Linked DNA regions of Coturnix japonica. The protein of the gene in region 1 interacts with the protein of each later gene in a pairwise test. Links are inferred from orthologs where the notes say so. Each region holds a gene or a part of one and is shown on either strand. Other genes may lie near its edges.

The links. The genes of interacting proteins can lie anywhere in the genome.
Region 2: the proteins of NCKIPSD (region 1) and PSMD9 interact in binary tests that used the Homo sapiens proteins (3 or more experiments, as listed by UniProt). The two-hybrid records come from large-scale screens. The link is inferred for Coturnix japonica from reciprocal best matches to the Homo sapiens genes NCKIPSD and PSMD9.
Region 3: the proteins of NCKIPSD (region 1) and STAC interact in binary tests that used the Homo sapiens proteins (3 or more experiments, as listed by UniProt). The link is inferred for Coturnix japonica from reciprocal best matches to the Homo sapiens genes NCKIPSD and STAC.

What each region holds. Positions count from the first base shown.
Region 1 is NC_029527.1:6,680,388-6,683,897, reverse strand, and holds part of NCKIPSD (NCK-interacting protein with SH3 domain), read right to left. Parts: intron 1,436-3,510; coding exon 1,355-1,435; intron 138-1,354; coding exon 9-137; intron 1-8. UniProt on the Homo sapiens protein: Has an important role in stress fiber formation induced by active diaphanous protein homolog 1 (DRF1). Induces microspike formation, in vivo. In vitro, stimulates N-WASP-induced ARP2/3 complex activation in the absence of CDC42.
Region 2 is NC_029530.1:4,891,477-4,895,722, reverse strand, and holds PSMD9 (26S proteasome non-ATPase regulatory subunit 9), read right to left. Parts: upstream 2,803-4,246; 5' UTR 2,801-2,802; coding exon 2,648-2,800; intron 2,574-2,647; coding exon 2,471-2,573; intron 2,177-2,470; coding exon 1,989-2,176; intron 1,431-1,988; coding exon 1,329-1,430; intron 1,181-1,328; coding exon 1,092-1,180; intron 764-1,091; coding exon 736-763; coding exon of another isoform or gene 677-735; 3' UTR 86-676; downstream 1-85. Other genes in the region: HPD (4-hydroxyphenylpyruvate dioxygenase), read left to right, coding at 3,061-3,063, 3,167-3,193, 3,668-3,730, 4,011-4,115, 4,208-4,246. UniProt on the Homo sapiens protein: Acts as a chaperone during the assembly of the 26S proteasome, specifically of the base subcomplex of the PA700/19S regulatory complex (RC).
Region 3 is NC_029517.1:41,873,376-41,877,548, reverse strand, and holds the start of STAC (SH3 and cysteine-rich domain-containing protein), read right to left. Parts: upstream 2,803-4,173; 5' UTR 2,415-2,802; coding exon 2,298-2,414; intron 1-2,297. UniProt on the Homo sapiens protein: Promotes expression of the ion channel CACNA1H at the cell membrane, and thereby contributes to the regulation of channel activity.

The DNA.
Region 1 (3,510 bases):
AAACCGACCTGGAATGTGGAGATTGAAAGCCAGAAGGACGTTGATGAATAAGTCAGGGAGTTGGTCGGTGGTGTCTGAAGGCAGCCCGTCTTCAATCACATCCAGCAAGAACTGCACAAACTGAGAGTTGAGATGTTCTGCAGAAGGATAAAGATGGCACTTACATCATCCGTAAAGTACAACAAGCAACAAGGGACCACGTGAGCCACTTCATGCTTTTAGGCTTAAAGCCACTACTAGAGTGGCAGTGTTAGCCACCAGGAAATTAACCAATGGTTTTGTGCAAGAGACAAATGGCTCCCAGTCAGCCACAGCTCAGACAAATGCTGACTGTTCATTTCCCACTGGCTTTTTTTATTCATTATTCAAGTAAATAGAATGCCAAATTCCGCTCTGGCTGCTGTTCCAGCACCCTTGGCACCAATGAAGGCTTCAGGTAGGAAGAGATTTGTATTCTTGACCACTGGTCTAATCCATCTATTTAGAAAAAAGAAAAAGTAATCATCCAGATCATTAGTAATAACCCGTTTTTCAATTTAGCTATTAGGAAAGCTCAGGAGCTCATGCAAATAAGTCCACCTGCTGGAAATAATTGCCAGGGTTATATGAGGAGAGAAAAGCAGGAGATGTGGAGACTCGCTCCTCAGTCCCCGCTGCACAAGCTTAAACCTTGTATGTGGTTATTGGAGTGTTAAGGTGAAGCTGCTGAGGAGATGATTATAAAAATCTTCATTGCATTCCTAGAGAAACCAAACCCAGAGTTTCCCAACTATTGAGGACACAACACGGCTGGGGAAGAAGCACAGAGAGCACCTTCTAGCTGAAGGTTGAAAGGAAAGAAAGGGTAAAACAGGCAGATCTGGAGCAACATCTGCACTTCCCTCTTGACTGCAATACTCCTCATCATCTCCACTCGCACAAAGAACTTGAAATTCACAGGGCTGTGCCACCCTGTTACAAGGGAGAGCAGGGAGAGGCCATGTGATGCAGCTGGTGGATTTAGTGGACATTCATGGAGCGATCTGAGTCAGCAACAGAAAGAATGTGTTTGAGGCAACTGAGAGGTGAGTGCTGTAGTGCAGGGCTCCAGTATGACTAAATATTTGGACAAGTAAGCTGCTGAGCCACAGTGCTGGGCAAACTGCTGCTTCTGCAGCAAGGCAGAATGCTTGTGCTGCTCTTTCTGAAAACCTGGCATCTCTGGCTCAGTGTTTGCAGCAGGGACACTCCAGTGGTGAAAAGGAGACCTTAATCTCACCTTGCTGACATTGAGCTTTCCCCAAGCTCTCCCCACAAAAGCTCCATCCCCAGGTAACCCATGACCAGCTCTGACACACGCACAGGCTGCTCTTACCATAATGATGGTATGGAAGGGGTTCCCCCATGGAGAATATCATTGCCAGCACCAGGGCAGAGTAGCACATCTTCTGATGATCTGCAAGAGAAACACAGAGCTTCTGCCACTGATTCTTCTGAGGGTGTGGTGCAGCACCCCCAGCTGGTAAGCCACATATTTACTACAGACTTCTCATGCTGATTGCACTGCTCTTTGTTTCTGTGTTTGCTGAACGATGGGGACATTTTCTTTCCTCTTTAAGCACACACCTTCTGCACCGTGCATTTCTAAATTCATTTAAAAATAACCACAACAAAATTCTCATGTTTTGCGTCTTTTTCCCCATCCACTTCAGAGGATGAGGGCAAACTCCACCTGGATAACAAAAAACCTCCCCTGCACAGACCCAGGACACGGCCCTTAGTTATGTAATTACTGAACCCAGAAAAAGCATCCATCTGGCCACCTGCAAGTGCCGCCTGTTCCAACCACCGCCGCCCCCGGAGCGCTGTGCTGCTCAATACCACCTCTGCTCTGCTCCACTTCTGCTACCTCAGCTCTGCCTGCAGGGATGGAAAGTCTCTGGGGAGACCCACCAGATCCCTGCTCATGGCTCAGGCTGCTCCTGTGCCCACTGCCCAGGCCACACACACCTCCACCACCTCCACACCCCGCTGGTCCAACTCCATTTGTGCTGGCAGCAGCTCCGAGTGAATATTCCACAGTCAGTGCCTTCCCTGAACGGTAATTAACAGATACTCCTCAGTAGATGTTTGCAGGGAAACAGAAGTCGCAGAATATGATCTGTGTGATAACAAAATGCAGCCTTGGTCCTGAGCAGTGAGGCTGAAGAAAAACATGCCTTCCATGTACGATGTTTCCCTGGTTCTGGATCCCCCTCTGACCCAGAAAGATCTCTCCATTCACAAATCAATCCATTGCTAAGCACTAGCAAGCTCAATTTGATTCTGCCCACACAGGCTGGTGCCTTCTTCATCCCTAATGCTCCTGGAGTTGTCTAACAGACTTGCAGCAATTGGCAGCTTGCAGGTTTACTCTTAGCACGAGGGAAGAAATGCTAGAGAATCGTTTCAGCCCAATAACCCCAGGAATCCATCCCCATCAGCAGAGGCTCTATAAACAAAGAGTGTGCAGACTTTGTTGAAGCTCCACAAGACGCCTGAGCTTTGAAATAGCAAACACTTCAGTGAAAATGTATCATTCGGGGCCCAGCTAGAGATACTACGCATTAACAAGATTATGAGTTTGTATGAGAGCAGCCCAGACAATGTGGCAGCAAAGCTGGAAACTGCTGTCTGCTCCTGTTAAAAGGAGAGGGAGAACACCAAGTAACTTAAATCTAATTCATTCTTATCTAAGGAGCTCCCAGCTATAAGGTGTCAGTGATACCAAAGCTCGCTATAATAGAAAGAAGATCTGACAGCTGCAACAGGCACCTGCACAGCCAGAGCTGACAGGCAGAGGTGCTTCCAGGCACCACCACCCAGCCACCACGGGCACGTCCCATGTCTGGCTGTGCTGTTTTCCTAACTGTTCATTACAAGACCTCTTCACCTCCATCCCAGGCGCCTGCGGCTGGTTATCAGAGGCAGGGTGAGGCAGAAGGCAGATATGGGGAGCTGCTGTTCCTGTGTTCTTAACAATACTTTCACAGAGAAAACTTCTCTTGTTGCACGCGGAGCAATGGAACGATCTGAGAACCAGAAGCCAGCACTGAACACACAGTTGGAACATACATAGAGGAAGAGATTAATTAGACATGGAATGGGGGAGGAGGGTGGTTACACACGTCCCTGCCCCATCTGCCATGAAATGATGTCCATTTGTGGCAGCTGACGGCAGGCTCCACTGCTAAGGATGCTGCATGTGAGGTTGCTGAGAACAGTCTGAAGGCTGAACTTGGAGCAGATCTGCATCAACCTGGTGCACTCACTCAGCACATACCATGAAAGTGTTAGGAGTGCTCCAATGCAGCCAAGGCTGCATTCCTTGACGTGCTTGCATCATCCTGAAAAACATAGTCATTGCCAGACAAAGCATGGCATATTTTTTTCATCCAGAGCAGCACCAGTGGCAGCAAGTGAATAAATAGCACTCAGAAAGCTCTCCTGAAGCAGAGGGACTTTGGGGACACCAGACTGGTAGGTGTCACT
Region 2 (4,246 bases), on another chromosome or scaffold:
AGGGAAGAATGATTTCATGTCTCTGCAGATCTACTTTTAACCTACCTGCAATTACAGCCCCCAAACAGCAACTTCCACAAGAAGGGAGAGAGACACCACTCAGCTTTATTCATCGGGATGAATACTTCAAAGTTCAACTGGAAACAACCTTACAAACAGGAACAATCCCCCCAATTAACAATTAACATAATAAAATAATTAGGTACTCCAAAATTGCTCTCTTATTTGGTGATTTCCAGCAGCTATGAACACATGAGAGTTAAAGTAACAGATCTGTGTGTTTCTTGAGTGTGTTCTACTAAGTTAAAGAAGGAAAAATTGTTCCAGGTCTTTGTATCCTGCTTTACAGGATGTTCAAATGAGGAATTTCAAGGAAAAAATGAAGGAATGCCACGTTGTCACCAAGTAAAAGCACTTTATGTTCTTCCCAATCTGTATCAAGTGAAATCCAAGTTACACTGCAGCCTTACTCCAAACTGACGCAAGGCACAAAGAGATGAGAAGCCACTTCCTGCAACTCTGTGAGTTGCTCCTCACAAACCAGCGCAATTCCAACTGCATTAAGGTCCTGCTCCATCAGAACCTCTTCAGACCCTGCAAGCTCAGCCACCCAGAGGTCACAGCCCCTGAAACACCCATTTCAGCAAAAACAAAGGTCACAGGGCAAGCTTTCAAATCAAATCAGAGTCCAGAAAGCAGGCACAAGCTTCATCTTTATTGTCTTCCCAGCAGTGGTCATCTTTGCAATGGAGTGATATTGCAGCTGAAAAAGAAGAGTGGGGAAGAAAACATTTAAATCTATGTTCCGAAAGAAGCTTAGATGATCCAACACAGCACAAATCAGATCAACCACAACCCTCCTCCATTGGTTTCCTCTACTATAGGAAGGAGCCACTGAGATCTTCAGCCCCATACCCATGACTGATACAACTCATCACCCCGTATAGTACCAAATTGACAACCCCAGCTCTCAGCTGGACTCTGCCTGTGAGACACATCAGAGCAGCACAGAGCGAAGCAGAGCTGGTTCCTCCTGCAGGAGACGTGCCCTGAGCTGATAAGAGCCCCCTCCACTCCGACTGGCAGCCTACCCCAGCAGGCCCTTCCCAGCCCAGCGCTTCGGAGTCAGCCCCAGGTGCACTTGCTTGCCATTGCGGATCACAGTCACACTCAGAGGTCTCTGGGAGAAGCAAAAAAAGAAGATGAGCTCTCTCATTTCCATTATGAAGAGCCCAATGGCTGTGGTAGCTTCTCTGGCCGTTCCACAGCAAATGCTGTAACTCATTGGGAGAGATAAGAGAACGCAGTTACAGCAGAACCAAACTTACCCCTTCACTATGCTGTACTACTGTGGCGATGTTCTGCAGGCTCTTGAAGTTGTTTGCATTGACAGAACCAAACTCCACAATCTCATCATCAACCTGCAGACCCTGGGCAGACAGAAAGAAGCTGAACGTCTGTGTTCTGTGATGACAGGTAACACTGCCTGCTCACAGGAGCTTTCATCCAGCCGCACAAGCTGTGCTAGGACACCACCCTTCTCACCATTCAGACAACTGAACATCATACCATGCCCTTAGAAACAAGGGCACACTCATTTTTCTGCTCTGTTTTATGAGAAAACAATGAGGCTGCAATGAACAGATAAGCCTTGTAAGAGCTGCGTGGTGCTACGATGCAGCAGACAACATGCAATTTCTGATCCCAACACAGGGACAAACCAGCTCACAGGGACAAACCAGTGACACGGCCACAAACGGGCAGCTCCCTCCATGGGAACATTCAAGAATAACTGCACTGGTTGAGAAGGTGAATGAATATTTGACAAACACAGAATGAAGAAAGTGTGAGTGGGATAATAACAATAATCAGTATCTCACAGCTTATACCTGCCTGTTAGCAGAGGAAAATAAGCAACACATCCCCTATTTCCCCTTCTTAAGCACAAAAGAAGCCATCCCCATCCACTGGCAGCCCCAGCAACGTACCGCGATGCTGGCGGGTGACTCTGGTGTCACCACGTTGACTTTGGCAAAGGCAGTTGGCAGATTTTGGCTCATGGCCTCAGCTCGCGCCTCCGCCTCATCCCTGGCGTGTTTCTCCTTCTCGCGGGCGTGCAGCTGGTGCAGAGCCTCCTCCACCTGCTTCATCAGCGCCTTGTGGTCGTTCTGCAGACCTGCGGGTGGCACCCAGCTCAGTAAGAAGCAGAATCACAGCATCGCTATGGCTTAAAGGCCCAACACAGCCCACAACCCACCCCACGTCCCTCAGTACATCCCACAGCTCCTGAACGCCCCCAAACCTCCCTGAGCAGCCGCCCCCTCTCGTCCTATCGCTGTTACCCGGAGCAGAGGCCGACCCCACCCTCCGCACCATCCCTTAGGGGCTGCAGGCAGCGCTAAGTCCATCCCGAGCCCCTTTTCTCATCCTGAGGAGTCCCCCACGCCGCTCCCGTCCCGTCCCCACTCACACGCGATGTTGTGCCGGGCTGTTCGCACTTGGTACAGGTCGATGTCGGCCCTGGGGAATCCCTCGCTGTCCACCAGCGGCCCGTCCATGCCCACGCCCTTTTGCTGAGGGGAGAAAGGCCGCGGTGAGACCCTCGGCAGCGCCCCGAGCCCCGAGCCCGGCCCCGAGCCCCGCTCACATCGTCCAGCAGCTGGTAACACGCCCGGATCTGCGCCTCCAGCTCGTCCTTGCGCCGCACCAGCTGCTGCACCTCGCTCAGAGTCATGGAGCCGCAACCACCGCGATCCGACATGGCGGCGGCAGGAAGAGACGCAGCGGGGGGAGAGAACATGGGGCGGGGACAGAGAGCAAAGGGGGCGGGGGCAGAACGGGGGGCGGGGATGGGGGGGGGGTGTCCATGTGGGGGGTGATGGAGGTGATTGAGGTGATGCCCCCATGGCCGGGCAGTGCCCCCGGGGCGGGCAGTGTGGGAGGAGGAGCCGCTGTGCTCTATATCAGCCCCGCTGTGCTCTATATCAGCCCCGCTGTGCTCTATATCAATCAGCCCCGCTCAGGGTCGCGTTCTGTGCTGCTGTCACTGCGGGTCACATCATGGTGAGCGGGCACAGGACGGAGCGTTTATGGGGGACACGCTTCCCCCGGCCCCGCTGAGCGCTCAGTGCCCGCTCACTCACCGCCTGTCCCGCTTCTCTTGCAGACGACGTACACGGACAAAGGGGAAAAGGTGAGTGGTTCCCTGCTGGGGGACACCCCGTCCTGTGCCCCATGGCTGCCCCATGGCTGCCCTGCAGTGCTCTCAGTGTGGCGGTGGAGCAGCGCTGGGTGCTTTGCTGCCGGGTGAATCGTTAACGCTGCGGGTTAGTGAGGACAGGCTGCAGGTTTGGGTTGCAGCTGCCATCTCCTCCTCTGTGACCCAAACCCTAAACCCCAAACCCCAAACCTCCTACTGCGTGTTTCTATAGGACCAGATGCCCCTGGGCTCACTTCCAGGCTGACAACTGGGTGTTTTGCAGCCACTTTGCTCCATGTGACCGGAGCCAACGCTGTGTGCAGAACAGCCTGCATGCAAAACACTCCAAAACATCATCATGGCGGGGGGCCATGGTGACATCCATGTCACTGGGTGCACCTGCAGGAATTGCATTGGGAAGAGTTCCATCTGGAGGGACTGTACAACTTCTTTTCCCTTTCCCTTTAGCACCAGCGAGGCCGCTTCATCCACTTCCACTCCATCACCTTCTGGGTGGGCAATGCCAAGCAGGTAGGGGGCCGCAGGGCTGGCGGCGGTGGCCATTGGCTGCCAGGGGATGGTGGGGCCATGTATGTGTGTGTGTGTGCTGACAGCAGCCCTGGCCAGGGGCCACGGCCTTGGGCCCTTGCGCAAGGTGGGGGGTGGATGCAGGGGGTGCACACAGGGCAAAAATGCAAAGGAAAAGCAAAAACGCGTCACCGCACACAGAACGGGCTGTACGGCTGTGCTGGGAGCACACAATGGCCCCGCACACACCGCACAGCCATGCACACACCGTGCTGTGCTGCAGGCTGCCTCCTACTACTGCAACAAGCTGGGCTTCGAGGAGCTGGCGTACCGCGGGCTGGAGACCGGCAGCAGGGAGGTGGTGTCACACGTCATCAAGCAGGACAAGGTGTGCAGTGTGTTGGGATGCACTGAGCAGAGCTGGTGGGATCCTCCCTCCCATCACTAACTCTTCCTTCCTCCCATCCTCTTCCACCCCAGATCATTTTCGTCCTCTCGTCGCCGCTCAATCCAGGCAAT
Region 3 (4,173 bases), on another chromosome or scaffold:
GGGTAATTAGACCCTGCACAAACTGATCTGCAGTAACTGTAGAAGACATGGACCTGTTAACTTACACAACAGAGGGTATGTCAAGAAAGCAAAACCCTCCGTGGTTGACAAGATAGCACCCTAGGCAGAAGATGCAGTGGAATGAAAGCTAATGCACATGCCACTGGCACACACTGACATATATCTTTGTTAGGGCTTTTGAAGTACATAAACTCTCTTGAAAAAGGTATCATGAAATCACTGATAATTTTTCCATCCTTCTGCTTACTGGGACAAAAAATCTTATTAACCTAATGATCAGAGGGATCTTTGGATTCCATATTTTGAAATGACAATACAAAACAGTTTCGGATGTTATTTGCAGTTCTAAGATGTGAATACACAGATTACATGTTTACTTAAAATATCTGTATGCAAGTGATGGCATCAACTGCACAGTCATGGCTTTTGCCTATTGCAGTGTATCACTCCTAATGCTCTCAAGACTGGAAAAATTGATGATGGTAATGTCTGATTAGAAACTGCTTAGTAGTCTTTTTGCTCTCTGGCTAGATATGCCTAACTCCTGCTGACATCCTTCTGAGAGCATACATAAGGAGCAAGAAGGATCCCTACATGCAGCACTTTGCTTTGTCTTTTTTTAGGATTCCTGCCTGTCTGTTCATTTTGGGAGATTTGAGTGCTCTGTGGGTAAATCCCTCATGTGAGCAGCACTTCAGCTCTGTAACGACTTTCTTGGCTGTGCCTGGGAGCAGAGGGAGCACTCATCCCACCTGGCCCAGACACAGTACAGCACATGTGAGGACCTGATGCTGGCAATGCAGCAAAGGCACCAGTTCCTACTGGGACCTCACTAGGGGGCTGAGCTCCCCACTAGACAAATACCAACAATTCTGGGGAAATGCACTCTGTGGGAGGATTTAGGTACCTGTCAACCGAATCCTTTTAGGGCTGAACCAATATCACATTTACTCTTTCCCTTCTCACCAGGGAGACTGCAGCAGCGTCCCAGTAGTGCTGAATGCATATAGTGAACAACATGAACAAGGAATGATTTTGTTGCTGGGAGAACTCTTTTACAGAGGTTGTTTTACATAGGGGATACCTTAGTTCTTCTCCTTGGAGTACAGCATTTAAAAAAAAATCCCAAAGCCTACGTCAGAATTCTTCCCACACAGTCTCTTGCAACTTACACTCTGGAAACCTAGTTTTAGCTGCAGAATAACACAGCAGCTTTCATACATTATACCAGGCAGCCAGCGCCTTTTAAACTCAGGCCAACACAGACCTTCCCTGTCAGGCAGCTGTTCTGCTCACCTGGGACTTTCTAAGCCTCTACCCAGCTGTCAGCTCCAAGTGATGAGGACCTCCCTGTTTTGATACGTTTACCCAGCACACAGCATCACTGTGGAAGTCTACAAGAAGATCTGGCAGCTGCTATCATGATATCAATCATAGGTAAGTAGCAGAGGATCAGTAAAATCACATTATCCAGGAAAGCTGCAGAGAACATTCATTATCTCAGGATACTACTTTCCTTCCCGTGCTACTCAATCTTCCAGGTCACATACTGGCAGGCAGGAAAACTTTTCTTGTACTAGTCAATTAAAAATGTAGTGGCCATGCCATTTGAGCTGGATGTTGGTTTCCACTAAGGTAAATTGAACCACATTTAGTAATCAATAAATAAAAGGCTGGGATAAAAACATCCTTTTCTGGGTAGTGTACATAAGGATTCTTGTGCCAAAGATGTCACTTACATCCCATTTCAACTACTGGCTCATTAAACAGTGAAAGTTCACTGATGGCTCTGCTAGCATGGATGAGGGAAGTGGAACATCCAAAGTCACCCACCAAAACAGTCCTCTCTGGATACATGAGAAAATAAATCATTCCAGCCACTGACAGAAACCCTGTAAGTGATGTGATGATCAGTGTGAAAACAGCTAAAATCACCTGTTGGCAGTGATCCTATCCCTGACCCCCTTTCCTCCTCCAGGTCCCTAGAGTAATAAAGAGGTGAAAATTCCCGAAATTCCCCTAACCCAACCATCTCAAAAAGCAAATGTTCCCCAGTTCAGACCCCTGAGCCTCCAGGGTGACAGGGAGAATTCAGTAGTAGGAATGTCAGAGCAGACTGCAGTCGGAGGTGGCTCACAGTGCTCCACTGCTGATCCTGCCACTGAGCTTCAAACACAGATCAGAGCAATGCATATTTGTTAAAAAAAAAAAAAAGGGGGAAAAAAAGAAAAGAAAAAGGAAAGACAGACAGACAGAAATAAGAGAGATATAAGTACCTTAGATTCCTGGCTGGTGGTTGATGCTGGAGATGGGGGCTGCTCTGTGCTCTCCACTTCATTCTCTTTCTCCACGCTGTCCACGCTGACTTCAGTCATGCTGCTCGGAGGAATCATTTTCCCTCTAAAAGACTGCTAGTATCAGGAAAAAAAGCTACAGACCTTTCTTGCTTTTTCTCATTTAATGTCCTCTTTCTTCTCTGCTCTTCTCGAGCAAATGAACTCTGAACCAGTCACATTTGCAGGACTAGAATTCTCTGGATTTTCTTTTTTTCCTTCTCCTCCTCCTCCTCCCCTTCTTTCCTCCCTCCTCCCTCCCCTCCCCTGTAAGGTTCTGCTGCGCGGGGAGCAAGTTATCGTCGGCTCTGTAGGGTAGTTGTGTGCCGGCTTCTCCGTCTTCCCTGATCCTTCTCTCCTCAGCGTGAAGCCGGGAGGTGAGGAGCAGAGTCGTGACCATCAGCCCGCAATCAGCTGGGAGTGAGGCAAAGCAGAAAGCCCCAGCCACACACATACAGGGCACTGGAGGGAGGAGTTGTATTTCTAATGCTTTGAATAGCTTTGGGGAGCATGTGCTGTCATAGTAGTGTAAGAAAGTACTGTATGCATGCATGCACACACACAGGCATGCAGCATGCATGAGGTGTGGGAGCATTTTACCTTTTAATCAGGCTGAGGAAGGCAGAGTTTGAAGGGCAGCTTTATATTCTGGTGATTTTCTGAAGAAGGACTCTAGGAGAAAAGCAACACTCTTCTTACTTTGTCCCAGAGAAGATGATTAAAAATCCTACCTGCTGATGTCTCTTAAACACCCACACTGCCTTACACCCCAAAGCGACAGGACAGAGCCAGGGAGGGGCACCTGTGGCTCTGAGTGCTTTTTACCTCTCTCCTAGGCAGGAGACCCCGCTCTGAGCCATGCACATGCAGTCAGGGATTGCCGGAGCTCCCGGCGCTGCGCAGATCCGTACCTGTAGGTTGTCATAGTAATAACACTCAGGCTGCAGTGGGAAAGCTGTCGGCATCCCCAGGCGCCGTCTTTCCCATGGACGCAGTGCCCGGAGTCACTCTCAGAGCTGCGGTAGTCCTGGAGGAAGGACAGCATGACTTTGCTGTCAGCCTCAAATCATGCCTATGGGTTAAATCAGCTGCAAAGGCACCTGTATGCTCTCCTCCCTGCTGACTTCAGGTCTGTGTGGCGAAAGGTTGAATGGATGTCCTCCCCAATGCATGTACGCTTTGTGGAGTGAGATCCGCTCCATGCAGCTGGCGGAGATGTCTCTTTATATTTCAGGGGAAGAAAAAAGAATAAAAGCAACCTAATGTGTTTTTCCTGGAGGTACAGGCAAAGGTGTTTGGAGGTGATGCACTGACATCTGAGCCAGAAAGGAACTCAAGAGAGGGTACCAGATTCACTTTGGTCCTACCGCTTAGAAACATACTTGCTACCTGGGGCTGCCCTGTAGGACTGCTCTATCAGTGGGTGAAAGCAAGGCGGGATTTCAAGACACTAGGGGTTGTACAGATGAAAGCCAGAGCAGAAAGTGCCCTGCAGCCTCAATATTCTTTATAACTATGCTGAAGTCTGGAAAAAAACTATACTTTTCCTTGAATCTCTGGTGAATTTCCAGTACCAGCATTTGGGGGGGGGGGGGAAAAGCTTTTTTCTTTGAAATAGAGCATATAAGATACTGAAATCTTTAGCAGACAATAAACATGAAATGCTGCACTGCTATTTGTATCACCACTTTAAAGCAAAAGTGTGTTTTCGGAGTCTGCCAGCAGAATCTATTATTTGGCCTGTAGCTGCTAACACTACTACAGGGATCAAAACAAGAGCACTGGTTGGTGTTGAGGCAGTTTCAATGACATCTGAGAC